Linked DNA regions of Notamacropus eugenii. The protein of the gene in region 1 purifies or fractionates together with the protein of each later gene. This does not show direct contact. Links are inferred from orthologs where the notes say so. Each region holds a gene or a part of one and is shown on either strand. Other genes may lie near its edges. The genes, in order: STX12, VAMP8, VAMP3 and VAMP7.

What was found.
Region 2: the proteins of STX12 (region 1) and VAMP8 purify together in Homo sapiens (affinity purification with mass spectrometry; 3 studies listed by BioGRID and IntAct, counting the BioPlex papers as one, with this or other methods). This does not show direct contact. The link is inferred for Notamacropus eugenii from reciprocal best matches to the Homo sapiens genes STX12 and VAMP8.
Region 3: the proteins of STX12 (region 1) and VAMP3 purify together in Homo sapiens (affinity purification with mass spectrometry; 3 studies listed by BioGRID and IntAct, counting the BioPlex papers as one, with this or other methods). This does not show direct contact. The link is inferred for Notamacropus eugenii from reciprocal best matches to the Homo sapiens genes STX12 and VAMP3.
Region 4: the proteins of STX12 (region 1) and VAMP7 purify together in Homo sapiens (affinity purification with mass spectrometry; 3 studies listed by BioGRID and IntAct, counting the BioPlex papers as one, with this or other methods). This does not show direct contact. The link is inferred for Notamacropus eugenii from reciprocal best matches to the Homo sapiens genes STX12 and VAMP7.

Annotation. Positions count from the first base shown.
Region 1 is NC_092876.1:68,874,844-68,881,923, forward strand, and holds the start of STX12 (syntaxin-12), read left to right. Parts: upstream 1-4,076; 5' UTR 4,077-4,078; coding exon 4,079-4,205; intron 4,206-7,080. UniProt on the Homo sapiens protein: SNARE promoting fusion of transport vesicles with target membranes. Together with SNARE STX6, promotes movement of vesicles from endosomes to the cell membrane, and may therefore function in the endocytic recycling pathway.
Region 2 is NC_092872.1:726,536,955-726,544,034, forward strand, and holds the start of VAMP8 (vesicle-associated membrane protein 8), read right to left. Parts: upstream 3,004-7,080; 5' UTR 2,418-3,003; coding exon 2,415-2,417; intron 1-2,414. UniProt on the Homo sapiens protein: SNAREs, soluble N-ethylmaleimide-sensitive factor-attachment protein receptors, are essential proteins for fusion of cellular membranes.
Region 3 is NC_092876.1:46,453,352-46,461,099, forward strand, and holds the start of VAMP3 (vesicle-associated membrane protein 3), read left to right. Parts: upstream 1-4,732; 5' UTR 4,733-5,303; coding exon 5,304-5,305; intron 5,306-7,748. UniProt on the Homo sapiens protein: SNARE involved in vesicular transport from the late endosomes to the trans-Golgi network.
Region 4 is NC_092879.1:11,730,254-11,737,243, reverse strand, and holds the start of VAMP7 (vesicle-associated membrane protein 7), read left to right. Parts: upstream 1-3,984; 5' UTR 3,985-4,253; intron 4,254-6,990. UniProt on the Homo sapiens protein: Involved in the targeting and/or fusion of transport vesicles to their target membrane during transport of proteins from the early endosome to the lysosome. Required for heterotypic fusion of late endosomes with lysosomes and homotypic lysosomal fusion.

The DNA.
Region 1 (7,080 bases):
GAACAAATAAAATTTAATAAATAAAAGGATTTGTTCTGTAAAACTTGGACTCAGTCAAAAGGCTGTACGTGAGGACCTAAAAGGCCACATGTGGCCTCAAGGCTGCAGATTCCCCACTCCTAGAATTGGAAATTGAGGGAATTGAGAGTCATTCCCCCATCAATTGGGGAATGACTAAACAAGTTGCGGTATATGAATGTAATGGAATACTACTGTATTGTAAGAAATGATGAGCAGGCTGGCTTCAGAAAAACCTGGAAAGATTGATATGCACTAATGCTGAGTGAAGTGACCAGAACCACATCATTGTACACGGTGACAACACTGTGTGATGATCAGCTACGGTGGACTTAGCTCTTCTCAGCAATGCAATGATCCAAGACAACCTAAAAGATTCATCCTAGAAAATGCTGTCCACATCCAGAGTAAGAACTAAGGAGTCTGAATGCAAATCAGAGTGTACTATTTATACTTTTTTTGCTTGTTTTTTTTTCTTGTGATTTTTTTTCCCTTTTGTTCTGATTCTTCTTTTACATGACGGATGTGGAAATATGTTTAATATGATTGTATATGTATACCGTATATGAGACTGCTTGCTGTCTTGGGGAGCAGGGAGGGAAGAGGAGAAAAATTTGGAACTCAAAATCTTATAACATGAATGTTGATAACTATCTTTACATGTAATTGGAAAAAATAAAATACTATTTACAAGAAAAAAATCCCAAAACAAAACAAACCAAAAACCGAAACAACCCCAGGGCTGCAAACTCCAGGAGTACTTAAATGTAACAATTAAATTCAAAAACAAGTTCTGCAAGCCATCAGGAGACAAATCTTCAAATAAAATGTAAAGTATATTTGAAGAATGCAAGACTATTCCTCATCCACTAGAAAAAGGAGAAGAGAATGGAATAATGTGTTCTGAAGTGCATTGGAGGTCAGGATGCAGCCCAGAGTAACCTATTCTCAATATCTGAGCTTAACCATACAGGACAAAATATGGGTATATATAAAGAAGAGTTTGAAACATTTTTTAGAAAGAAAACCAGAACTGAAAAGATCATTTGCTTCTTGAACAACCCATCAACAGAATTCAGGAGTTAAGAAATGCAGATAATAACTGCAATAGAGTGACAACAGAAACACAGTAAGCGACTTCTTTCTAAATGGAGACAGGTAAAAATCTGGTAGTGGTAACAGTGAAGAGGCAGATGGGGACATCATGGATGGAACCTGACAATCAGGAGAATGCTTCCTTTTGTAGGACTACATTACAACACAGGAGGGTACGTGAAAAGGAGGCAGGGGGAGCAGGAGGTTAGAAAGAAATGAGTGTTGCCAGGGTCAGATCAAGGGTCAGTAATGAGGAGAATGTGACCTCTGTGGCTTCAGAAAGAAAAGGACCTACAGGAGAGTGGGTGAACAGGAGGAGGGAAAGACTGAAAAGGGGAGGAAAGAAAGGAGGGTTTACTTTGGAGGTACGAGGGAGTTCCCTGATGTTTCTGTGGGTGAAGGGAAATGAAGATACTGCACTTGATAAGGCCGAGGAATTGGTGCCTGAAAAGACTGCTTATCCTAGGATGGGGAGAAGGGGAATTGGAACCCCTGGGAACACTTGGAAGAATGGAAGAGCATGGACATAGGAGATTTTCAGGCAAATGTACGGAAGGGGAAAGGTCAACAAGAGGAGTATAGGTCAGTTGGGGGTGGGAGAGCACTACCAAGGGGCAGCCTCTCTTTGACACCTGCAATAATTGGCATTATTCTGAGCGTGAGGTATAACAGGAAAGCAGAATCCATAGGAAAAGCCCTACAAGGCAGAGGCAGAAAGTGCCTAGAGGACAGAACCTAGAATGGATACCCTGGAAGCTTTGATTATATGAAGACCACAGAGAAAAGAGAGACTAGTTGAATATAGATAGGGGTCTTAAATCAGATAATGAGGGTCTAGACTAAATAAAAGGAGATGGATAATGAAGTGAGAGAAATCTCTTTTTGGAAAAGGATGCAAAAGTGAAGTAATGAATTGGACTAGCTGAAGAAGTAATAACTTGATTAACTGAGGAAATAAGAGAGGGAAGAAATATATAATCATAACCAGATAAAAGCAGGAGAGTGAAACAAAACTCTAAAGAGACAGTAGTTAAGAAATGAAAAGGCAGAAGGAGGGGAATGAGGAAGAGAGCTGGTGGGAATAAGGCCACCTTCAAAAAAGATTAAAATAATGGAACATAATCCTGTGTATAACAGAAGAGGGAGAAAAATCATAATTATTATTAAAGAGAAATGAGAACCAGGAAAACATTATACACCATAACATCAATACTGCAACAATGATCAACCCTGAAACTTAGCTACTCTAATCAATTGAATGATCCAAGAGAATTCCAAAGGATTCGTGATGAAAGATGTGATCCACCTCTCGAGAGAGACGTAATGAATTGAGTGCAGATGGATGCATATTTTTTCACTTACTTTTTCTTCTTGTTTTTTGAAACATGGCAATATAGAAATATGTTTTGCAAGATAACTGATGTCCTATGGGTGGGGGAGGACTGGAAGGAGAGAGTTCGGAATTCAAAATTTTAAAAAATGGATGTTAAAGTATAAAAGATCATAGCTGTTACTAATGTATCAGAATATAATGGTCACTGCAGCTTTGGTCTTCTAGTTTGATGTGAACTTAATCAACATCCTCAAACCACCCTATGCATAGTTGAAAATACATTTTAAGGCAGAGAGATCTGCCATATTCATGTTTAACCTTTTCCAACACGGGCTCTCAAAATGCACATTGGGTTTCATCAGCATGGCAGAATACTAAGTGAATTAGATAACCTAGGTTTTAGCTTTGGTACTTAGTGACCTTGGGCAAGTCAGTTCTACTCCTAGGAGCTATATATACTTTTAAAATAAAATAAAAAAACTAAAATTTTTAATAAAATTTCCGGGATTAGAGGATCTCTTAAATTTCTTTCCTGTACTGAAATCCCAATTTACCAGTGTATCTGAGGCATCTGGAACAGGGCAAAGATGGGAAGCAGACTTTCCTGACAGGAACAAAAGCCTGAATTCTGAATACAGATTTGGAACCGAAGGGATCCAAAAGGGCACCTAACCCAAAGCCTTCCTTCTGCAGAGGAGAAGACTGAGGCTCAGAGCGGGCCCGTGACTGGTGATCCCACGTCCAGCACTCTCCACCGGCCCACGCTGACTGCTAACGCGGGGGGCCATTCCCCACGCTGCAGCGCCTGATCCACGTGGAGGAGTCACGTCCTTGGCTGGTGCTTACTTCTGCCTGCACCTCCGAGGCCATCACTTAATGCGGGACGTTACGGGGGCCGCCCTGGACCTACAGACTCGTCTTCGGTGTCAATCCGACCTGAGGGACCCCGGGCCGGTCACGTCACCCTGTCGGCCTCCGTTCCCTCGTCTGTAAAACGAGCTGGAGGAGGCGGCCGACCGCCCCGGCATCTCTGCCCAAAGCCCCCAGCGCGCCTCGACCCAGGAAGCACGTGAGGACGGGGAAGGGGCCGCGCCCCGCCTCCCACCCGCAGCCGGCATCCCGGCGGGGCCTGCGGGCCGGGGAGGTGACTGGGCCTTCCGCGGCCTTCCCCTCCGCCCGGTACCGCTGGAATGCCGAGCCCCTCCCCGAGGACGATGAGGTCACCCTCTGGGGCGGAAACGAGGCGATGGATGTTTCCTCTGGGGGGGCCGGCGGGAAAAGGGGTGCTGGGTCGGATGGATGCGATGGCCCCTTCCCTGTGGCGGCCCCCGTCCTGTCTTATGCAGAATAAAATCTGGGTCCAATGGACCCCACAGGGAAAGACTCCGAATCTCTCCCGGCATCCGCCCCCAAAGCGCGTCCTTACGTCACGGCTCCGCCGGGAGGCGGGGCGCATGCGCGCAGCGGAGGCCCGGGTGCGCACGCAGCAGTCTCCTCCTCTCCCTTCTTTGCGCCCCCCTCCCCCCGTCGCGGCTCTGTCCTCCTCTCCCGCTCCCTGTCACTGGTCGGCGGCTCCCCTTCCGGCTGGGGATCAGTCCGGATCGACCCCGGCCCGGCCAGGCAGCCCTCGCCATGTCGTACGGGCCCCTAGACATGTACCGGGCGGCGGGGCCCTCGGGCCCGCAGGGCGCCCAGCCCCGGGACTTTGACAGCATCTTCAGCACTTGCTGCGGCCACATCCAGAGGATCAGCTACGCCAGTGAGTGGGGCCCGCGGGCGGCCGGGGAGGGGGCGACCACGACGGGTGTGGCCGCGGGAGGGCTGAAGGCCCCCGGCCCCGCGCCGGGCCCTGGCTGCCTGCGGGGGCGAAGGCGCCGCCCCGCCTGCTCAGCTCTGCCCCCTTCCCTCCGGGCCACGCTAGAGCTGATCGATCGGCAGGTGGGGAAACTGAGGCCCGAGAAGGGAAGGGGCGAGGCCAAAGCAGAACCAGCCGGAACCTGGAGCCCCAAGCCAGGCTTGTGCTCGCCCCAAACTGCTTTCCTGGGCTTGGAGTCCGGTCCTGGGGCTGCCTCGTTTGACCAGCCCCTGTTCTTCAGCCTCCAGCCACCCCTCCTGTCCTTCCCAGTCTGCTCGGCTCAGATTATGTGTAACAGTGTAGCTTCCGAGTCTGCATTCTCTGTGGTCCTGGACCAGCTGGAATTCAGCGCAAATGTCAGCTAAGGTGAAGTGAAGGTTGCGTGACCTGAAACACCTCCTGAATGTCATGGTCGTAAGGATGTGGAGGGGTATGGAGCCTATGGGTTTGTCTTCTGTTTTAATTTCCCTTGACAGCCCAAGATCCAAGGAGTACAGCTTGTTTTATTAATCTCCTTGGAAGCTTTAAATTCAGAGATTTCCTCGTAGTCCATCCAGCTGTTAGACAGCAGCAGTCAGTATTTGGTTTTGATCGGTCTTATTCGCTGTTTCTTGAAATGAATTTCATATACAGAGAAGTTTAGTGACTAACTCCAAATCGCATAGGAGTGTATGTCAAGCCACAGTGAGAGGTTCTGTGTTTGGGACTTGTCTTACTTTCTCATTATGTAATCCCTCCCCGATGTGGGGGGAGAACAATTTAAAAGTATCCCCCTTCCTGAGACAAGGTCAAGTAGCATCATCTTTGTACAGAAAGGTATGCATTTTAGGGGTTCCAGCTATCATCCTAGACTAGTTGTTAGTAGTCATTGATCTTGAATGATTATATTTATCAGTTCATATTAACAGCATATTTATAAAGCTTATTTAAGATTTGCAAAATCCTTTCCTCACAACAATCTTGTGAGGAAACAAAGTATCTTATCTCCACTTTCTATACGCTGGTTCCTGATCCTGAGACCCGTGCTGTTTCTATTACCTCAATGCTGAAGTTTAAAGAACTGTGTCACATTTTGCTTTGCCTTTAATTAGTTGTTTAAGAAAGCAAGAAACAGTATGTGGTAGAGAGAAATTCTGAGTCAAGTAAACTAAACTTACTAGCTGATTTTCCCAGTTGTATTTAGAGATGGCTGGCTGTAATACAAGTTAACCTCACAGCCTTGTTACAGGATTCATGTATTTCAAAATATATGCAAGATACAGCTCTCTCACATCTTAGTAGATAGTCCTCAGGGGTTACTGTAGCACAGAAATTCGTATTTGTGGACAATAAATCTCACCAAACTTGCCTGAAGTAGTCGTTGGACAGTAAACTTTTGACCCCTGAGTTTGCACTTGAAACTTAATTTTACTTGAGAGATCTTGTGGAGCTTGTATTCAACTAACCTAGCCTTTGAAAACTCGGGATCATCTCCATGCCATGATGAGACACTGGAAGATGATCTTAGTGACAGGCTGCTATGATCAGCTACTAATAACTCTCATTTATATAGTGTTTTACTCTTTGAAGTATATAGTGCAAATATTAGCCCTAGTTTACTAATTTTGAAATTGAGGCTCAGCTAGGTTAAGGGACTGGCCAACATCCCAGAGCTAATAAGTGAAAGACCTGGGGCTCAGAATTATGTCTTCTGACATTTCAATCTCTTGCTCATTCTGATCCTGTGTATTTAATTTCTTGTTCTTTGGTTTTGACAGTGCAGATATAATAGACTAAAGTTCATTTTAAACATTACCCAGAATTAGTTTTCACTGGGGAAGATTGGCAAGCAAGGAGTAACATTGTTATCATTTCTTAATTAGCAATATTAGAGGCCCATCAATGTTACTACTTCAGGTGAATGAGTGAACTTATTTTTTCTCACTTAAGACAAATTTGAGAATGGGAACTCTTTTTTTCCCCCAGCTTCACCTTGCCAATTACCATTGTAGGATCTTTTTACTTTTCTCTCATTCTGACTTTGAACCCTCAGTAATTCTGGCTGAAGTGTCTGTCCTCACTTGCTGCTCTTTGTGGAGAATCTAAGATGCCATTCGGAGATGAAATAGGAAGAATACCTTAACTGTTTCCTTATTTGTCATCTGGCTACATTCACACACACATCCCAAACTTCTCCGCGTTTTCCTGCCTCACTATACTCACTGTATTATACTTCAGTGAACTGAAAGCGTGATGCTCAAGAAAATAATTTCTTGTCCTTTGTATTAGATACAAGGATAAACAGAAGACATCGTACCTACATTGTCCATTTCTAGTTTGTGGTAGAGCCAGGCACTCTCCACATTTACGATGTTTGCAGTTGTAGTAACATTGTTAAATCTTTTTTTCTGGATAATTTTAATTGCAGTTTTTTTAACTGAAAATGCAATTTTAATTTCTGTGCTGGTATATTTGGGAAACTGCAGGGTCATAATTACCGCATATCTCCATAGTCTGACTAATGTACTTCAGTTGTTTTCTTAAGATACTGAGTCATCTGGTGGTTCAGATGCTGGAGAGCTGTTGTCAGTATCTTTCCTATCAGTGGACTTTATGTTTTGAATGGATCAGAGTTCATTTGGACACTGTTATTCTCTGAAGCCCCGATGTTAAATTATGGAAAATATATTCATTTTAGAACACTTTGATCTTCATTTGAATCATAGGATGTTAGCACTGAAAATGTTTTTAGAGGTCATCTAATCTCATCTTATAGATAATGAAATGGAAACATCAGCTG
Region 2 (7,080 bases), on another chromosome or scaffold:
AGTAAATACAAATCATATAAATACAGTAAATAAGGAAAAACATAAAGTACTTTCAAAAGGGAGATGGTGCTGATAACTGGGGAGATCTCACTGAGCAGCCTCAGGGAGAAGGCGCCACTAGTGGTTCCAAGACTCTGAGGTGAGTACATCTCCCCTCTTCTCTCAGAAATTTCCTCCTGGAAAAGTCCTGCTTCTATTAGATTATAACCTCATTGAGGACAGAGGTTATCTCTTGCTTCTTTTTGTAAACCTTAGTGCTTAGTAAGGTGCAATCAATTAATCAACATTAAGCTCATCTTCCAGAGTTCAAATCCAGCTGCAGACACTTACTGGCTGTGTGACCCTGGGCAAGTCACTTAAACCCTATTTGCCTCAGTTTCCTCATCTGTAAAATGAGTTGGAGAAGGAAATAGCAAACTGATCCAGCATCTTTGCCACAAAAACCCCAAATGGGTTTTTGAGTCAGACATGACTGACAAAGACTGAACAACAACAACATTGTAGGTGCTCGATAAATGTTGGTTGATTCCTTTCAGCTGCACTTCGTGGCTGCTTAGAAATGAGTCCAGCAGTTCTAAGTTACCCCCTCCCCCCACTCCTCGGCCCCCTTCCATCTTCAGCCGTTGAGCCACAAACTTCTGCTTTTTCCACTCCCAACCCCCCAGTGGCCCAGGACGAAGGGATAGGGGGGCTCGGGCCACTGAGGATGTTGGTGCCAACAGTCAATAAAACTGTGGGAGACAAAGAAGGCAGGTCTTCTTGAAGCGTAGCCTGTGACTTTGTGATACCTCACGTGGTATGGAACAAGCCTTGGCATGACAGTCATTGGCCTTGGGTTCAAATTCCAGCCCTGATTCTACTGGCTTCTGTTTAATCTTCACAACCACCCAGTGAGACAGGTGCTATTATTATGTCCATCTTTACAGATGAGGACATTGAGGCTGATATTTAAGGGTCACACACACAGCTATTAAGTGTCTGAGGTCACTTTGAACTTAGAAATTCCCAAGCCTGTGTTCTACTTTTATCTATCCACTCTAGCCAACCCTGGGCAAATCACTTTATTTTGATTAGCTTCCATTTCTCCATCTGTAAAGTGGGGATAAATTGAGTGCTGGCCCTGGAGCCAGGAGAACCTGAGTTCAAATCTGGTCTCAGACACTTGCTAGTTGTGTGACCCTGGGCAAGTCACTTCACCCAGTTTGCCTCAGTTTCCTCATTTCTAAAATGAGATGGAGAAGGAAATGGCAAACTACTGCAGTATCTCTGCCAAGAAAACCCCAAAGGAGGTCAAGGAAAGTCAGACACAACTGAAACAACTCATCAACAAAGAGGGGATAACTGACTGCTACCTCAGTGGGTGTGGGGGTAAGGATCAAATGGGATAATGTATATAAGGTGCTTTCTAGATTGCAATGTGCTATAAAGTTGTTTATTATTATTATTATTATTATTAAAGACTAAGTGACCTGCCCCCTTCCCTTTCAGGCAGAGGGAAGGACTAAGTAGATAAAGCTAAGGGAAAATTGTTTGAGGCCCCCAGTTAAGGGACCGCCCCAAGGTCACAAGGCTAGTAGAACAGTAACTTGGTAGCTAGAGTAGCCAGAGGCTTGGAGAGATTACGTAAGCATGCTTTAAAGGGAAGAAAAGCAATCATTCCTGGTTCTTCCCCTTCATCCCCTCACCCCCAAAGCCTGGGTAGGTAAGGTCTGAAATCATGACATCACACACTGAATACAAATTCCACATTTGAGGAGCCAAGGCTGATCCCTCCGGACAGAAAGAGTAATGAAGAAGGGGTCCTAGTTCCAGCCCAGCTCACCCAAGCTGATCTCAAGCTTCTTCCCCAGCCCCCAAACCACAAAGCTTTTGCATTCATATCAGAACTGAAGGAAGAAGGGGGGAGGAGAAGCCGCCTCCAGCCCTGGGTAGTTCCATTTCTGTCCAGCTGACCCAGCAAGTTGGGGAACACCGGAGCCCCAAGGGAGCAGCTGGAGCCCTTGGGCCTGGAGGGAGAGGCCTGCCAGGCTTTGGTCCCTCTCTGGCGGGGTGGGCAGCCAGGCTGGGCTCTGCTGCTCCCGGGATCGGGGAGTCCTCCTCCCTCAACCTCCGCCCCCACAGGAACTCGGCCAACCATTCCAGGAAGAATTCCCGGTCTTCGGGGCCAGCAGGGAGGTCAGGGAAGTGAAGGCCGGCAGTGGGGAAGGAGGGGGTGATCAGAGAAGGGAGCAGCCAGCCACAGCTGGGACAGCCCAGAGTCAGAGTACTGGTCAAAGGACAGGAGCCACTGGGGGCCTTCCCGCCTTCTCTCTCCTCTAGACCCTCGAGATGATGGATCGCCACTCTCTTCCCCCTCCCTTTTCCTCCTGACCCACCTCCCAGTCCTTCTCCCATTCGAGGCCTCCCTCACTCACCATCTCTGCCTCCCGTCCAGCTGGGGCCCCTCAACAGCTGGGACAACAGCAGCAAAGGACTGGCTCGGGTACTTTTCTCCCGGGGTGCGCTCAACCTACTTCCTGCTTATTCCAACTTTCAGCCCGCCCCAAAGGCTGAGCTCCGCTGCTGCGTCGGTCGGGTCTACACGGCCGGTCCCAGACTGGGCGGCTCTCGAGGCACACCTGGATCCACAGGTTACATGAAGGAGGAGGCGGGGCTGGCCACCTTGGAGCCTCCCCCAGCCTTTCCTCTAGCAGGGCTGGAGCTTACTTAAAAGACTTAGGGCTTCCTGAGCCCCTCCAAGACTCGGAAGCGCACATCCAAGGCTCCCCAGAATGTCCTAAGAACCTGAGGGAACGAATCCCGAGTCGGCTACCTCAGCGGGGAAGACAGCTCCTGCCGCCCCCCCACCCCCTCCACTTTCCCCCCAGGCTTTCCAGGCTGTTCTCACCCAACTCTCACCACCCAGAAAAGAACAGAGATCACTTTTCATGGAAACATTCGCAAGTTAGAGCCGGAAGGGATGTTAATAGCCACAGGCCAACTTCTTAAAACCCAGAGAAGGACTAGACTCAGAACCCACCGTCTTCTCTCACTTTCTACTCTTTAATCAAAACTACAATTCTGGCAGATTAATATGTGAATGTGGTAGGCTGACATCTGGCCCAAGAAGATAGAAAATTGGCCTTGGAAGACCTGGGTTGAAATTCGGCCTCTAACACCCACTGTCTGCTTGACTGTGGGTAAATCATTTATTCCTTTGGAGCCCCAGGTTCGAAAGATGGAGTTCCCCTGAAGTTGAATGGGAAAATCCTTTTAGCTTTATTTTCATTAGCCTCTAACTAAATTTAAAGTATCCTTCAAATATTTAAAACATTCTTCTAAGAGATCCATAGATTTTGCCAACACATGTGAAGGGGCCCAAGACACACGAAAAGGGGAAGGACCCTCTGTGTCAAGGTTCTAAACAAAAAATAAGTTGCTCATCTGCACCTGCGGCAGGAATTACAGTCCTCTGATGAAATAGTACAAATTCAACATTTATTAAGCACCTACTACATGCCAAACAGCCAGGGTTGGGGAACCTTTAGCCTTGAGGCCACCTGTGGTCCTCTTGGTCCTCAAGTTCAACCCTTTGACTGAATCCAAACTTCACAGAAACAAATTTATAAACAAATTTTCAGCCTTGAGGCTGCAGGTTCCCCACCCCTGGAACCATTTATTAAGTCCCTGCTGTGGGCTAAGCATTGGAGTTGCAAAAACAAAAGGAAAACAGAAACTGAGTTCTAGGAGTTCATATTGGAATGGGATGGGTTTAGCAAAACAGAGAGGAAAGAGACGTTTTGAGGTCGATTTGGGCTGGACAGCAGTAGTGTCTGGGGGGAATCAAGAAAAATACCATGGGAAAGATGAGGATTCCAAAAGTCAGGACGTATTAGAGTGTTAGAACAGCAAGGACTCCTTGAGGTCGATGAATCCAGTTCTCACATTCAAGGTCACCCAGACAGTGGCAGAGCAAAAGCATAGATTCTGACCAAAACAAAAAAAATCAAATCCAAAATTAGAAACTAACTAGGTTGTTTGTCCAAGAAATGTTGCTATGCCTTGCTCTGCTTGAGGTACGGATCTTAAAAAAATGAAGGCACCCTTATTTTTAGTGCAAGGTAGCTGGTAAAAATAAAAACCCTGGATTAGGGAGTTCAGAGACCTGGGCTGGGCAATTTCGGGCATGTTGCTTCACCTGTGTGCCTCAGTTTCTTCCTGTGGCAAAATGTTTAGAGGTTGAGGCTAGATTGTTAGTATCATAGTGCTCCAAGACCACCTAGTCAAACCCCCTCATTTAAAGATGAGGAAACTGAAATAACCTCTAAGATAACTTTTAGTACTGAAATTGTGATTTCTGTTTCTGCAGTCTGAAGCTGGGGTTTTGTTGGTTTTTTTGGGAGATGAGAGTAAGGGGCATTGGCTGAGAAGTTAGAGATACCTCCAATGGAGGGAGGGTTGCCCTGTGAGGGAGGACAGCTGCCAAGCCAAAGGTTAAGACAAGGACTGGAGAACCAGAAAGCTGGGCAGCTGCCCACACAGTGAGCCTGATGCAGCTGGAAATGGGACAGATAAAGGGAGAGGGTCTGCTCTTTGCTGGACACACCATGCTCTCTCTTTCTCTCTGTCTCTCCCTCTCTTTTTCTGTCTCTGAGCTTAGAGCAGCAGCCCCCCTAAAAGGAAGATGACAGTAATTCTGTACCTCACTCCAGAATTACACCAGGTGACAAGAAATCCTGTCAGAGGCACCTTCAGAGAGTCCCCAGTGGCCTGGAGATAGAGGCCTCAAGGGAAGGATTTTTTTCCCACCCCTGGCTCCCTGCCAAAGGAAAAGGCGATTGCTGGTCTTCCTAAATTTTATCTTGGTGGGAGAACATAAAAGGTGTCCTATCTCAGAAGACAGAAAAAGTTCTGGGATGATTTCTGCAGCTGAGAAAAACGCATTCCAGCCTGATGCTAGGATTAATTAGCTTTTTCCTTTTGGTTGTCAGGAGACCCAGATAGGAGAAGGTGATGGCTGGATATGCCAACCTGCCTTCAGTTAGAATGAATGTGGTCACGCCACACTGTAGGACGTTTGACAGCTTAGTTTAGAGGGGGCAGGGTGTGACAGGAAATGGCGGCTCTACCCAGCTGGAGAGCCAGCAAGCAAGAGAAGGGGAATGCCAAGCATACCGAGGAGGGATGTGAGTAGAGGCCAAAGACTGCCATTGACACTCTGGCATGTGTCCCAGGCAAGAGGACACTTGGCCTGGTCCCAAAGCTCCCTACATCCAGGGCCTGTCCTGACTATATTGTCACCCTCATCTTCCTCCAGATGGACACTGTGCAAATGTAATTATAACTCTGGAAGTGAAAACCTGGGCCCCTCAGAGGCTAAAGTGCTAAGGCAGATGATAATGACTTTGGCTCAAGTTATAAGAGACTTGCTAATTAAATGTACAGAGACCTCATTACAATAACAGGGCAGAGGGCAGTAAAGGGGAGTCAATATTTTCATTGCTTAGTAGGGATTATTAACTCATGTCCCACTGAACTTGGTTTAAAAAATATTTTGACAAATGTCTTTTAATATAGTCAGTTTCATCATAATACTGTTTTGAAAAACTGATCACCCTGAGAACGAGTCCATAGGCTTGGCTAGATTGATTGCAAAGAGGGCCAAGACATTCTTGGAGACTAAGAACTCTTGGAGAGTGTGCATTTTGAACATGGTCCTAGCTCATGGTCAAGGAAGTTATCTTCCTCTAAAAGAAAGATCACTTTAGGACATTTGAGGAGGGAAATAAAGACTCCTGGTGGGTTGGGGGTGGGGAAGTGAAGTTAGTGAGAGAAGGCGTGACAACTCACAGAAGCAACCAGGAGGATTCTGGGGTAAATGGTAGGTTTGGTTCCCAGGAACACAAAGGAAACAGGTCTAGATAAAACATAGGCTTAGGAAATAGAATCTGACTAAATTTTGCCCCTCTCTTCTCCTCTATTCCCTCTCTTCCTACATCCATTTTTTTCAAGAAATTAGAAAAAGAAAGAAAAAAAACTTTTTGTAACAAATATGCAAACAAATTTTCAAACTGATCATGGCTGAAAATGTATTTTTCAGAAGGTGGGTAGCACATTTCACCACTCATTCTTGGCTGGTTGTATTGATCAGAGATCTAAAGTTTTTCAAAGTTTGTTTTAATAGTCTTTTTGTTATTGTGTAAACTGTCACACTGGTAGGATCTGATCCAGAGATGTCCCTCTGACCTGGTCTTCCATGGACACCAGGGCCTTCTAATGGTCCAGATTAATCAAGGGCTTTGGTATGGGATCCCCAGGTTAATCCCTTGAAGGGATAGGAACCTCATCCCAGCCCCCAAAGTAGCCTTCCTCCTTCCTTGTTTGAGATGACACAGAGATAAACTAGAGTAGGGGTGGGAAACCTGCAGCCTTGAACATGTGGCCCTCTAGGACCTAGAGTGCTGCCTTTTGACCGAATCCAAACTTCACAAAACAAACCCTTCCATTATGTGTTTCCTCATCCCTGGCCTAGAATCTAGGCCCCAGACCCTCCTAGAACGGACCAGGTAAGCACTTGCTTCAGCAGCTTTCACCCCCAAAATAAATTCTGTTGGTTTTTTTTTTCATGACTGGCTTATTCATAGGCTAATAGGAGCATAGATTTAGAGCTGGAAATGACCTTGGAGCTCATCTCATTTTAAAGATAAGGAAACTGAGGGATTGGGCTGCACTCCTGACTCTCTGAATCATGCCAAAGAAATCACTTCTGGAAATTCACTCTCCCCCTGGACTTCTCACACTGGAGGGACTTTTGGCTCACAACTTCTCTGTCTTTGGCTCTTCCATTTGGAGAAGGATGGCTAAGGCAGTTATGCCTTTGATTCTCTCCAGGTTGCAATCTTGAATCTTTAGACTTTCTTTGCCATTCTTTACCCTGCCCCCAACTTGAGGGTACCTGCCCCTCCAACCCTTTACAGTTTTGTTTTGTTTTTTTACATAGGGTCTTCCCCCAATACATTATAAACTCCTTAAGAACAGGATGAATTGTCTTTCTGCCTTTCTTTGCATTCCTGGATTGGCATGTAGGAAGCTCTTGTTTAC
Region 3 (7,748 bases), about 22 Mb from region 1:
TTTTGTCTGAATGAGCGAGAAAAGTGTGGATGTATTGTTTGTACATATTGTATATATTAAAACAGAGATATGTGCATGAATTCAAGAAAAAAAAGAAATGAAAAAAAGCAAAGCATTAGTGGCTATGGTCTGTAAAATGAAACAAAAACTTTATTTCACTATAAGAGTACTTTATTTTAAATGTTCTTTAGAAGAACATTTTGCTAAAGCATGACTAAACTGCAAAAAAAAAAAGAGCTACTGTATTTAGACTTAGGAAAAAAAGGCAGAGTAACATTACTAAAAAACAAAAAAAAGGATATGTTTACATTTAATTTTGGCTACCGGGAGTTGATTTAATTTTATTTTAACTTTTTTTGCCAATGGTGCCAAGTAATGTGAATGCTAATATTGCTTAAGAAAATTAAGTTAATTTTGCAAAGCAGATAATCATAAGAAAAACCAGTATATAGCTTAACACCATCCACTCACTCCAATAAAGAACACTTAGAATGAACATAAACTGAAAAAAAAAAAGAAATAGTCTGAAAGTAGAAAAATATGTTTCACATTTTCATATCTCCTGCTGGAAGTCAGAAAATGTAATAAAAATTGCACAAAAAAATTAAAAAAATTAAAATTAAAATGATGCAAACTGGTCTTGTAGGGGTGTCATGGTATATTACTATTTCCACATAATGAGGAGCCAAAGAAATCAGATACTTTAAAAAAAAAAATAGAAACTACTAATGTTAAATTAAGAGAGGGTAAGTTAGTATTTGCTGATACCAGTTTAAAATTTCCAAGCTAAGTCTGAAGATCAGTTGGTGTAAAGTTAATGACAATTAGTTTTGTTCTTACTTGATTTTGGCCATCAACTGTAAGTGAAAATGCAAGGCTTGTTGTGAAGCCTAAAAATATTCACAAATAAGAAGCTTTTAAACTGGTGTCTTTGGAAGGAAGGTATATACAAAAGGATTGGGGTAAAAACTGGGGTCAGTGCTCTTGGTGCCTTTTCTATAATTGTACTTGTTTTTTAATTACTTCCTTTCACTGCCAACCTTGAATTACTGTACAGTATACGTCTTACTGCTCGTGATCAGCTCTGACAACAGTGACAGTCCCACAACGAACAGCCACCTGTACATTTGTAAACTGACCTAACTCAATTTTTTTTTTAAGTGTGTGGCTCATGCTGCAGCTGTTGCAGTCCCAAAACATCTATTATTTTACAAAATTGGGCCTGTAGGAGAACACTGAGTATTATACACTCATAAACACATATACATAATTGCACACACAAATGGGAATGGAATGTGAAGGCCAGATCTTTCGAAATGTCCTGTATTAAAAGTGAATTTAGACATGTTTATTCCATTTGTTATGAAAAGAATGGATCTTTAACAAGAGTAATGACCTCAGTGGATTTGTTTTAACCCTCACATTTCTACAAAAAAAACGTTTCACATACATTTATTAGATGGGCAAGATAGAAGACTCAGTAAGATATAGAAATACTTAATGTTACTCTTCCAACTCAGAGGGTCTTCCTGGAGGGAAGAGAAAGTAGGTTTACTGCCTACTGCATAACCCACCACTGACCACTGAGTTAGCTAAAAATGCACTTCCACTGAAAGAATGCATTTCTGATCGCCCTTTTCTTGGTTGTGGATCATAGTTTTGAGTATAAGATGATAGGTAAGCGCAGCTTTCTTGGATAATCTGAATTCCCAAGTGCCAGGAGTAGGATTTCATTATAAAAATTAATAGCTAATATTATTCTGTCTCCTGAAAATTTAATTGCTATTATTACACATTTGAAATCAGCTGTACTGTGTGAACGAAATAAAGACTATAACATGAACCCCCTCTATGGTTGCACGGTCGCTTATGGCAGTTCCACACAGTAGTTGGCGCCCAACGGGGGGTCCCCAAGACTTGCATGTAAAACTAGTCTAGATGTCTCCTTTTTGTAAGTTTTATTTTTGTAATTGTGCATGTAAAGCATCACTGAATCAATGGATCTGTTGAAGAACTCAGCTGCTGGAACCATGCAAAATGTTTTGAATTGCCCTTAAAATATGGAAAATGTTTTCTGAATGCTTTATATTCTTTCTGCTGTAAATTAAAAATGAAGAAAATTTCCCCATACTAGGTGTTGGTGTGTTTTGTTCTTAATTTAGATTTCTCGGCTATTTAAAACCAGGGCACATTGTGCTTAACTTCATGTTGTTTCAAGCGTATCCATTTCAAAAAACAAAGTTTGGGTCCAGAATCTGTCTTTAATGAACATGATTCACACATGCCCTCCAAAGCACATCTCAGGAAAGTTCTACTCAATTTGCAAATAATAAAGTTACTTAAATGGGTTAAATTACAGAGAAATCATTTAAAATCTTTGTATTTAAAATACCAGACTGAATTAAAAACATGTAACTATGAAGCCTTCTGAGTCACTAGTGACAATCTTGCAAGCTGTTTAAAGTTCTACAGGGCTCCCCTCCATTCCCACTGCCAGCATCCTAGCCTAGGCCCTTTGCACCTTTCCCATTTGGATTATTGCAACAATATCCTAGCTGGTCTCTCCCTCAAGAGACTCTTCCCACTTTAAATCCAGTCTACTCCAACCTGGGATTTCATTAATATCTTACAGGGCCCTTCCACAGATGCAGAGCACAACTCTACCACATCTAAGAGTGGTTATGGACAAAAAAAAAAAACGATCACCCTTCATAGGATCATAGACCTAATGCTGGAAGAAACCTTAGAGGTCATTTAGTCCAGCCCCATCATTTGACCCAGTTCCAGCATGTGCTACTAAATGTTTAACAATCCTTTGTTGTTTTGTTTTTGTTGGGGGCAGGGGTAACGTATTCTTGACATACTTTTAAGTTGAGTCTGAATTACCAACATTTCCTTGATTGCTTTAAGTCCAGGCAATCAGCAGTCAAGTTAAGGTGTAAATGTTCACACTGACATTTTAACAACTGGCTCCCTAGCCAGGCTCCACCACACCACACACATCTTTGGCTTCTTCAAACTTTGCAGGACTGATACCCTGAGAACTGGTACCCAGTATTCAGAGCCTTTCTGTTTTGAGAGGGCCTCCCCAAACCTAAGCTTTGCTTACATAGCTTCAGGAACCTACAACCAAGACACAAGGCCTTAGTGGAAGAATTTCCTTAAAAATTCCCATTTATCAAGTCACTCCCCTGTTCACAAACCTATGTTGGTTCCCTATTGCCAACTCCAATCCCAATTCTTCTGCTCCAAAATGTGTCCCTATCCAGTCTTATTAACTACTTCATCTATACGCACCCTTTCTTCCTGTCAAATGTCCTCATTATTCTTTGGCCACTGTTCTTGCCCTGTACCTTTGCTCACAAGGTTCGAAATACTTTTACTCCCCTCTACTTAACCAAATTCTACCCATCCTTCAAATTCCACCACAGATCTCATCTTGCCAACATAGCTTTCTTTGACTACTCTTGGAATCCCTTTTCTTCCTATTGCTTTTAAGGTTACTACTTTAACTGTTAAAAGAAGGTAAACCGAGGCACAAATTTCTAAGCATGACCAATTTATTAGTAAAGTGTGAATTTACCAATAAATACAATCACAGTTTCCTCAGCGAAGCTAAGACATCCCTCCAAATGTGGGAGATAGTTCTCTTTTATAGCTTTTTTGGGGAGTATAGAGCAAAGAACATAACTTCCTAGGCGGGAAACAAGAGCTCAGCATCATGAATGGTGAAATCAAAATGAATGATTACAGAGCTGAGGCATGGGGCGACAACACGATTGGTTGGAAACTGGGAACCAGGGCCTAGCAACAAACACCCCTTTCCTCTCCTGTAGTTAAGGAATGTTCCTTGAGTCTACCCGCAAGATTAGATAAAGTGGACCAGACTTCTTTGCAGAGTAAACCAGACACCCTTGAAGGGCAGTTTGGTGGTGTAAAAATACCAGACCAGACTCCCTGATGTCCACCTGCATCCCCCAAGGAAAGCAGAATCCCTTGAGGCAAGAATGGACTTTTAACCTTAATTCACTGCATACTAAGTTCAGAGACAAGAACCACGATTTGGGCCATAACTGGACAAAATCAAGTCACCATAAAATAGGATCAGTTAAAAGACAGAATCAATCTGATTATCCCAGCACTCAGCCTCACACCTGCTGTCTTACTAAAGGTGCACAGCTGTCAGTCAGGTCTCCAATGACTCTGTGCTCCCTGAGGGCATCCCTTGTATCCTTTCCCTAGTCTGGACTCGTTTTGATGAGAAAATTCAGATTCAGATTCGTATGGGGCACGCTGCTTTCTCAGTCACCGAAGGGGTAACTAAGAGAGCCAGGGTCCCTCCCAATCTTTTGGCGGAAAACACACTTATCGCAGCTCGGACCTGTGCATTTATTTAGGAATGACTGGGGAAAAGCACGAATTAAGCGGTCTGCTAACATGGGAGGCAATGCCAAGCTCGTTGTATCCGTCTGGCTTTCATAAATACCTCCCAGTTCTAATGCAGGTCTGCCCGGACCCCTCCTGTACGGTTATATATGGGGCACAGCGGGCACTGCTTACCTCACCTGGGAAGAGGGACCATCCTCCCGGCAGCCTCAGAGGGAGTACAGCGCGCATGCGCGCACTCGCGGTCCCGCCTTCTCCAATCCCACCCCCGCCCCACCCCCACCTGGGAGGGGTCAGCGCAGAGGCCAGGGTGAGGCCGACTAGGGCACCGCCCCCACCCTCACTTACCCGGGCCACTTCCTTCCCCCCGCTGGGGCCGCCTATTCCTGCGGCTTCCTACAAGGGTCCAAAGAAACTCAACCAGGGGAGGGGAAAAAAGAAAGCCCGGAGAGAGAGTTGGACGGGGGGGCAGACTGAGGGAAGCGGGAGGGAGGGAGGGCATGGGCACGGACGGCGGCCGCCACCCCTCCCCCTCTGCTCTGTCAGTCACAGCGCCGCGAGCGGCAGCAGCGCCCGTTGAATCCGTTCCGTCCGTTGGTCGGCGCGCACGCGCACGCCCCTGCCTCCGCCCTTTCTGACTTCCTCAGGGAGAGGTGTGCCCGCGCGCCTGCGCGCGTGCGTCTAAGCCCTCTTCCTCTCCCGTGCAGACGGACGTGCGTGCGTGCGTGCGTACGCCTCGCTTCCAAGCTCCGCCTCTTCCCTCCGGTGCGTCACCAGCCGCGCCCCGCCCACCAGTCTGGCAGGCGAGCAGGCAGACGGAGTCTGGGCGTCCGTGAGCCGCTCCACCCTCCGCGTTCCGAGGCCCCGCAGAGCCCGCCAGAGCGATTCCTCTCCCGACGAAGGGGCCAGCCGCCGAGATGTGAGTGACGCGCCTCCGGGGCCCGAGCGGGCGGGGGTCTGGCTCCGCGGCTGCTGCCGGGGCGTGCCCCCTCCGTGCGGCCCGGGCTGCGGGGGACGCCCTGACGCGGGCCGCAGCCTGTACGCTTGTATTCTCGTACGCGCCCTACGAATAGAGCCGGCCCTGCCCTCGCGGAGCTTCCAGTCTGAGGAGGGAAGCCCCGGGGTCCGGAGCGGCCGAGGGGAGGCGGCGGCGGGGTTCCGATCGCGCCTCGGCGGGGGGGACGGAGCCTGGACGTGGAAGGGAGGGGGAGGGGGCGGGAGACCCTGCCCCGGGCCCTGGCCCCTCCTGGGCCCCCTCCGCCCCCTCCGCCCTTTCCGTTCTGGAAGGGTCTCCGTGGTGGGCACGGCAGCAGTAACGATGATGACGGCGGTGATGACGTTTATGTAGCGCCTTCGGAGCGCTTTCTAGGCGGGGTCCCCTTGGAGCCCGAGAACGACCCTGTGTGGGGCGGGGATATGTGTGCCCATTTTACAGAGGGGGAAACTGAGGCTCAGGGAGGCGCTTTGGCAGCGCTGGAACGGTTCCCTACATAAGCGAGTAAAGAAGCATGAACTGGGGGGGGGGTCCCTGCCCCCAGGGGGTCGCTGTGGCTGCCCCCAGGGGGTCGCTGTGGATCTTTAGGGAGAAGTCAGATCATGAACATTATTGTCTAGGAACCAGGCTTCCTAGGAATTTTGAGTTACTTTCTTGTGGAGTGCTTGTGGAACATTTCTCCCTGCAGTCAGACATTTGTCACCGGTGCACAACTTTGGGAGTGTTCACTTTTTCCTCTTGAAGGAATGTGGCTTAGGATTTTAAGGTCCCTTTGGTGACTGTGCTTTACAGTGTGACCTTTTAAATGCATTTTTCCTGAGCTTACCCAAGATTTTACCAAGAATCCTATCTGGCACCCCAGGGGGCTCAAGTTTGGAGAATGAAAGGAGGCTAGGAAACTAGAATCAGAATAGTCTCGTTGGCTTCTCAGGAAAGAAAATGCATTCCACCAAAATAGAGTATTAATGGCAGCTAGCATTTATATAATACCTACTACGTCGTTACAAATATTATCTCATTTCATTCTCCTAACAACCCTCGGAAGTAAATGCTATTGTTAGCCCCATTTTACAGTTGAGAAAATTGAGGCAAGCAGAGGTGAAGTAACTTAACCAAGGTCCATCAACTGGTGAGTGTCTGAGGCTGGATCTGAACTCAGGCCCAGCACTCTATCCACTTCTCCACCTTAGGTGCCCCATACTAAGTACTACTATGTGGTTGTTCAGTTGTTTTCAGTCATGTCTGACTTTTCATGATCCCACTTGGGATCCTCTTGGCAAAGATACTGCAGTAGTTTGCTGTTTCCTTCTCTATCTCATTTTACAAATGAGGAAACTGAGGCAAATGGTGAAATGACTTGCCCAGGGTGACACAACTAGTGAGTATCTAGGCCATATTTGAACTCAGGTTTTCCTGAGTCCAGGCATGGCTCTCTATCTATTGCATCACATAGCTGCTCATCAATATGTTCAAGATAATGTTGAACATTATGGGTGATTCATAGAATTACATGGCAGTCTCTGCTTTCAAAGAATTTAAGTTCCAGTTGGGAAAAAATTGCAAAAATAACCTTACATGTCATCGTCTGACTAAATATCAACTAATAAAAGTATCTACTCTGGGTTGGAGTGGTCAAGGAATGCCATTTCCTTCAAAGCAGCATTCTGGTGTCTCCTTTTAGTAGAAAACTTTCCTGATTCTGTCCCTCCCCATTGTTGGCAGTCTCTTCCTTTCACAGTTACTTTATATCGCCTTTCATATACTTTGTGTTTATTTGTGTGTGTGATGGCTCTCTATCTCCAATAGAACATAAGTTTCTTGAGGGTAGGTACTATTAAATTTTTCTTGGCTTTGCAGCCCTAGGAAGAGCCTTGACTCAAGTGCTTTACATGCACAAAAGGCTTAATAAACATTTATTGAATTGAATTCATGAGAAAAATAAAATTTGATCTTGGCCTTGAAGGATAGATAAATTCAAAGCTATGAGCATTATCCCAGTTATTTCTTCATTTACCTACTATTTAGTGGTAGTGTGAATTTAATAATGCTCATTCCTGAAAATTACATTCAGAAGTAGCAAGAAACAATAATTATAGCAAATGAACTTAACTATGTCCTTAATGGGGGTGAGGCAAAGGTGTGGTCCACAATTCTTAGGCTTAACTATGAAAATACCCTGAACTGATAAGGATTAATTTCCTTGTTCAGAACTAAAAACTCATTATCTTTCCTTATGCCGTGTTCTGGTGATTCTATCTTTACAACATCTCTTAGACCATGCCCCCTTCTCTCCTAAGACACTGCTACTGCTGTGATCCAGGCCCTCATTACCTCACGCCTACATGATTGTAATAGCCTTCTGGTTGGC
Region 4 (6,990 bases), on another chromosome or scaffold:
TTTTGCCCTCTATGGGTCTGCAGTTCCCTTCCTGCCTCTCTTTCCTCCCTCCCTTCCTCACAGAACAGGTTCACTTACATAAAGTAAGTGCTATCAGTATAAATATATGGGTTAAAATAAGGGATGAGAGCAGAAGCTATTTTGCTTTAGCTGAAGTAAAAAGGACAAGGATAGTAATCATGATCTCAGAAAAAGCAAAAACAAAAACAGCCTTCAGTAAAAAAGAAACTATATTTTGCTAAGAGGTACCATAGATAGTGAATTAACATCAATGCTAAACATATATGCACCAAATGGTATAACCTCTAAATTCTAAAAGGAAATGTTAAATGAGTTACAGGAAGAAATAGATAGTAAGGGACCTCAATTGAACCCTCTCACATCTAGATAAACCCAAACAACAAATGAACAAAACAGAAGTTAAGGACTTGAAAATAATTTTAGAAAAGTTAGATGTAATAGACCTCTGGAGAATATTGAATGAAAATGAATAGGAATATACTTTTGCCCATATTGCATGGCACCTTAACAAACATTGATCATATATTAAGGCATAATAAGCTCACTAACATATGCAGAAAAGCAAATATATTAAATGTATCTCTTATTGACCATAATGCAATAAAATTACATTAACATGCCTTTAAAGCGAAATTAAAAATCAGTTGGAAAGTAAATAACATAATCCTAAAGAGCAAGTAAATTAGAGAACAAATTAGAAAACAAATATATAATTTCATTAATAATAGTAACAACAATGGGACAATATATGAAAATTTGTAAGATGTAGCCAAAGTAGTAAATATGGGAAATTTTAGATCTTTAAATGTGTTTGTCAATAAAAAAGAAGAAAAGCAGATCAATGAATCAGGCATGCAATTAAAAAAATAACTAGAACACTAACAAATTAAAAGCCTTCCATTAAACACCAAACTAGAAATCCTGAGAACCAAAGGAAAGATGAACAAAATTGCAAGCTAAAAAAATGTTATAAAAAATAAAACCTAGGAGTTAGTTATTTTGAAGAAAAAACAATGAAGTAGATAATCCATTAGGTAATTTGATTTTTAAAAAGAAAGAATAAAAACAAATGACCAGGATCAAAAAGAAAATGGTGAATTCATAACAAATGAAGAAAAAAATAAAAGCAGTTATTAGAAGCTATTTCACCCAACTACATGTTAATACAGTAATACTGATAATAATAAAACCTAAATGAAATGGATATTTACAAAAATATAAATAATGCAGATCAATAGTACAGGAAATTGACTACTTAATAATCTTACCTTAGAAAAAGAAATTAAACAAGTCATAAGTGAATTACCAAAAAAAAAATACCCAGGACCAGACGGATTTATAGAAGAATTCTACCAAACTTTTAAATAAATTCTAATACTACATTAACTTCTTGAAAAAGTAGGTAAAGAAAGGGTCCTGCCAATTCCTTCTGTGTTCTTGATATCTCAACTAATTATTTCAATGTGTCTTTGATGCTTTACTCAAGGGAGAGTCAAAGCAGAGAAAGAGAACTATAGACAAATTTCCGAAATGAATATTGATGCAAAAATTTAAATAAAATATTAGCAAGGAGACAATGGCGACACATCACAAAGATCATGCTCTCTGACCAAGCTGGTTTTATATCAAAAAGGCAGAATAGGTTCAATATGAGGAAAATTTGGTCATATTAACAATAAAAGCAACAAAAATCACGTGGTTATTTCAAACGAAAAATGCAGAAAAAGATGCAGAAAAACAACAAGGTACAGTATGCATTTCTTTAAAAATACTAGACAGCATAGGAATAAATGGAGCTTTCCTTAAAATTATAAGGATAAAAATTGTATTAATTGTGAAACAGGGGGGACACAGGACTGGCATAGGACTAGCACAGGACTATCCAGCATGGCATGTTAGCTTCAAAGAAGGTGCTCTGCTCAATGAGCAAAAGAGAATAAAACCAGCTCAAAACAAAGGTAAGATGTGTGGATTTAAAGATATCTCTATCCTGAATGTTCACACAGACTATTTATACTTGACTTCTGTTAGTTTTCTAAGCTCATTATTGGTCAGACACACTGTATATTGACCCCAAACATTGTGATGGCATTCTGGTTCTCTTCAAGAATGAAGGACAAGCAAGTAGACTCTATCTAAAACCAAGAGCAAGGGAAAAATAAACTAGAAGCCTTTCCAATAAGATAAGGAGTAAAGCAAGGATGTCCATTATCACCATTACTATTCAAGACTAAATTAGAAGTACTAGCTATAGTAATAAAACAAAAAAGAAATTAAGGGGAAAAGCCTAGGCCAAGAGGAAACAAAAACTATTACTCCTAGGCTCAATTTGACTTTGTAGGGTTGCTCTCTTTTGCTCATAACAGTTTCAGTGCCTGAGGTGTCAAATTCCAGGACCAAACTTTTCCTCCTGGGTAGACCGGATAGGCTCCAAAGAGCTAGATTTGACTAGCCCTTTCTCCTTTTGTTCTGGAGAGATTTTCTGGATGCTGGGCTGAAGCTGTTTAGATTCTGTTCCAGGCCTTTCTTCTGCTGTGGTCCAGCCTCTGGGCCTGCCATTGAGGCATTTTTCTGTTGCTTTTGGGACCCCCAGTTACCTGGGCCTCTCTCTTGTTATGAGGCTTAAGGTTTACTCCCTTGTGCTGGATTCTTGCCAGGAGGTCCTGAATTCTACTCTGCTTAGGTACTTTTGTGGCTGAACTCTAGACTGCCTTCTTGTTGGGTTCTTGCACTGACTCTGGCTGCTTTCGTACTGAATTCCACTTAGGGCTTTTTTTTTTTTTATCTCACAGTGCTTTGGTGTCACATCTGTGTTTATCTTTTCCTGGGGCCTTTCTCTTGCCATTGGGCTCTTGCCAATGAACTCTGAAGTTGTCTTTACTCTGGGTAATTGGCTACTTGTACAATACAGGTAGTGGTCCTTGCTCACTCTTGTCACTCAGTCCACTAACCCTTTTCCATGATGGTTTAACAGCAGGCAGATTGGTCCGGAGGTGCTTATCAGAAAAGAGGCAAATTCCCAGCCTGTCCAAGTTCACGTTCACATTGGATTCAGCATTCTATCGTTGAGCACTAGAAGTGATCATAGCCCCTGAATCTGGGATTTCTACGTGGGTACATGATGGCTATTGTTAATAGTCTATTGTTGCTAGGAAGTGAATGCAACGTTTTGAGGGAACTGTTATTGTTATACTTTTGTCAAGGGATGTGCCTGGATACATGCTATGTCTGGAGGGACTTCTGGGGTGTGGAAGAGAAGTAGACTTTTAGCTACTTAGTAGATATTTTGTATGGATGGGTTTATTTGCACTTCTTTCATCTCTCTCTTTCTGTTTCTCTCTCTCTCTCCCTCCCTCCCTTCCTTCTTCCCTCCCTCCCTCCCTCCCTCCCTCCATCTATCTTGTATGGATCGGTTTATTTGCACTTATTTCATATCTACCTATCGCCATCTATTTTGTATGAATGGGTTTATTTGCATGTATTTCATATCCATTTGTCTCCACCTATATTACACATGTTGACCCATTCGTTGAATATCATAGCCAAGAGGGCAGGGACAATTTTTGTCTTTGAATAGCACTTAATAAATGCTTGTTGATTGATCGTGCAGTGTAGGAGTTTGTCGTTATGCACTGTTTATTTGTTCTATATACGAGCCAGGCCAAGAGTGAGACAAATGCTCTCTGCAGTCCAGTAGGTGGAGCAAATAAGTGTGTGGGGTTTCCTGATTGACAGTTCAGAGGTTCAGCCACTAGATCACCCTGAGGTCCATTTCAGCTGACTGGGGTCAAGAGACTGGCCAGACAAGTCCTTTTTTCCAGGACCATTCCGCCTCTAAGGAGGTCGGGCAGAAGCTCCAAACTACCAGTCCCAGCATGCATCGTGACCTCAGAGAAGGTGGGGAGGGGGGGAACACCCCCTCCCCCCACTCCATTCCCTTTCCCAGAAGGCCGCGGGCGAAAGTGCGCCTGCGCAGCCCGGGCACCAGCTCGGAGCTCGGCTTGGAGCTCTGCCCGCCCCGCCCCCTCCCGGGTCGTCGCTTTCTGTTACAGAGGGAAGAGCCATTGGCTCAACTGGTCGTTGGCGTGCGCGCGTATACGCCTCCCTACGTCCCCACGTACGCACCTAGGGTTGCGTCCCTCCCTCCTTCCCCGTCAGCGCAGCGAGCTGGGCCGAGCGAGCCTCTGCTGCCGACTGGGGTCGCCCAGGCGGACCGCCCTGCTGCCACTGAGGTAGGTGCCCTCCCTGTTCCCCTGGCGCGCTCTGGGGGAGGCCGCCCCCTCTCCTCCTACCCCCCATTTCCTCCCCCATCTCCCCCTCCCCTCTCTCTCTTCGGCGGGGCGGGGCTTGTGGGGGGAGGAGCGGGGAGAGGTGGAACCTGGGCCCCACTAGGGTCGTAGGCCCCACCCTTACCCGGAGCCTCTTTCCTTCCTTTCCTGTCTCTTCCTGTGGCCCCTCCTGTCTGTCCGAGAGGAAGAATCGTGAGATGCTCAGGGGGAGGACTGTCTATAGCTTCCAGCTGATGTGGTGGAGACATCCCCCCCACCCCCTTTCGGTTTAGCGAGTGGGTTTGGGACTAAAAGCACAAACATAAAGAAAAGCACAGAATCTGAAACTGAGGGGATGCCCATCCATTGAGTAATGGCTGAATAAGTTCTGGTTTATGAAGGTGATGGGCAAGACCTTTGTGTTGAGGCGGGGGATGATTTTAGAGGAACTGTTGGCAAAGTGAAAGGAACAGGACCAGGAGAAAAGTTTATATACAGTAGAAACCTGTAAAGACAGTCAGTTCTGTCAACAGTCAACACAATCACCAAGGATTCGCGATGGAACATACCGACCACCACCAGAGAGGGCTGGTGCGTTTGGAGGGCAGATCTAAAAGGACATGGGCAATGTGTGGATTTGTTTTGCTTAACTATGTTTCTTTGTTCCAAAAGGAGTTGCTGTGACAGATGTTTTTGCTTGCCACCAATTTAGTGATTAACCTGTTTACCTCCATTTTAAATAAACTGATCTTCAAAGTTGATATGTGGGTATCACCTCCATACCCACAAGCCCCACTCCAGTGTGGGACAAAGATTTGTCACTGATTGCAAAAGCTGTGGGAATAAAGGAAGGAATGATACATTTAGGAAGAAAGCACTGAGGCACTGTGTGCTAAATACTGTGCTAAGTCCTGGGTGTGTAGCAATACAGGATAGAGACACTCACTGCTCTGAAAGAACCCACATTCTAATTGAGCAAACAATTCATATTGTACATTGGTAGCCAGGTAGGGGTGTTTTGGTCTGAGAGGTTACTGCTGATGTGAGCTGACGTTATACTTTAAGATACTTCTACGTAGTAGTGCCAACAGTTTTCATCAAGAATGTTTTAAGCATCTGACTAAATCTGATAAGCACATCTGGAATTTGACAAATAGCCTTCTGTTGAAGCCCTTGTTTCAAATTTTTCCCCAGTCCATTCCATTTAGTTGTCAAAGTACCCAAAGGGCAGTTTTTTTTTTATTTCTGACATCATAGTGGATGTTACCTTTAATACTTCAACTCTGACTAATCTGCCACCAAGGCATTTATTTTATTGTTTATTTTATTTTATATTTTCTTTGAATAATATTTTTCCCAATTACATGTAAAAAAATTTTTTAACAGTCTTTTTTAAAATTTTCAGTTCCACATTCTCTCCATTCCTCTCCCCTCCCTGAGATGGCAGGCAATTTGATATAGGTTATACATGTGCAATCATACAAAACATATTTCCATCTTAGCCACATTGTGAAAAAAAACAGGCCAAAAAAAAATGAAAAATAATATCCTTTGATCTGCATTCAGACTCCATCAGATCTTTCTTTGGAGTTGGATAGCATTTTTCATCATGAGTCCTTTGGACTTATCTTGAATCGTTGTATTGCTGAAAATAGCTTAAGTCATTTACAATTAATCTTTATACAGTATTGCTGTTACTGTGTACAGTGTTCTGGTTTTGCTTACTTCACTTTGCATCAGTTCACATAAGTCCATGTTTTTCAGAAATCATCCTGTTTGTCATTTCTTATAGGACAGTAGTATTCCATTACAATCGTATGCCACAAGTTGTTCTTCAATTGATAGACATCCCCCCAATTCCACATTCTTTGCTACCACAAAAAGAGCTGCTATAAATATTTTTGTACAAAGAGGTCCTTCTTTTTTAAACTCTTTGGGATACAGACCTAGTAGTTGTAATTGCTAGATCGGGTTGATAGCCCTGTGGACATAGTTCCAAATTGCACTCCAGAATGGTTGGATCAGTTCACAATTCCACCAGCAGTGCATTAGTGTCTCAATTTTCCCACATCCCCTTCAGCATTTGTCATTTTCCTTTTCTGTCATGTTAGCCAATCTGGTAGGTATGAGGTAGTACCTCAGAGTTGTTTTAATTTGCATTTCTCTAATCAGTAGCAATTTAGCACATTGTTTTATATGGCTATAGATAGCTTTGATTTCTTTTTCTGAAAGCTGCCTGTGCCTATCTTTTGACCATTTATCAATTGGGGAACCAAAGAGCAGTTCTGACCATGTCACTTTCTCTCCCCCCCCCAACTTCAGTGACTCCCAGTCACCTCCAGGATCAGACATAAAATCTTTTTATCTTTTAAAGCACTTCAGTACCTGTCTCCTTTTCACCTTTTTAGTCAATCAATCAAGAAACATCTATTAATCACCTACTAGGTGCCAGGCCCTGAGCTAAGTGCTGGGGGTACAAAAAGAGCAAAAGACAGTCTCCGCCTTTAAGGAGCTTACAATCTAATGGAAGAGATAATATGCAAGCAAATATATACAAATCAAGCTATACACAGCATAAATAGGAAGTAACTAATAGAGGGAAAGTGCTAGAATTAAAAGAGGTTGGGGAAGGCTCCTTGGAACTTAAAGGAAGCCAAGGGAGGTCAGTAGGTGGAGGGGAGGAAGGAGAGCATCTCTGGCT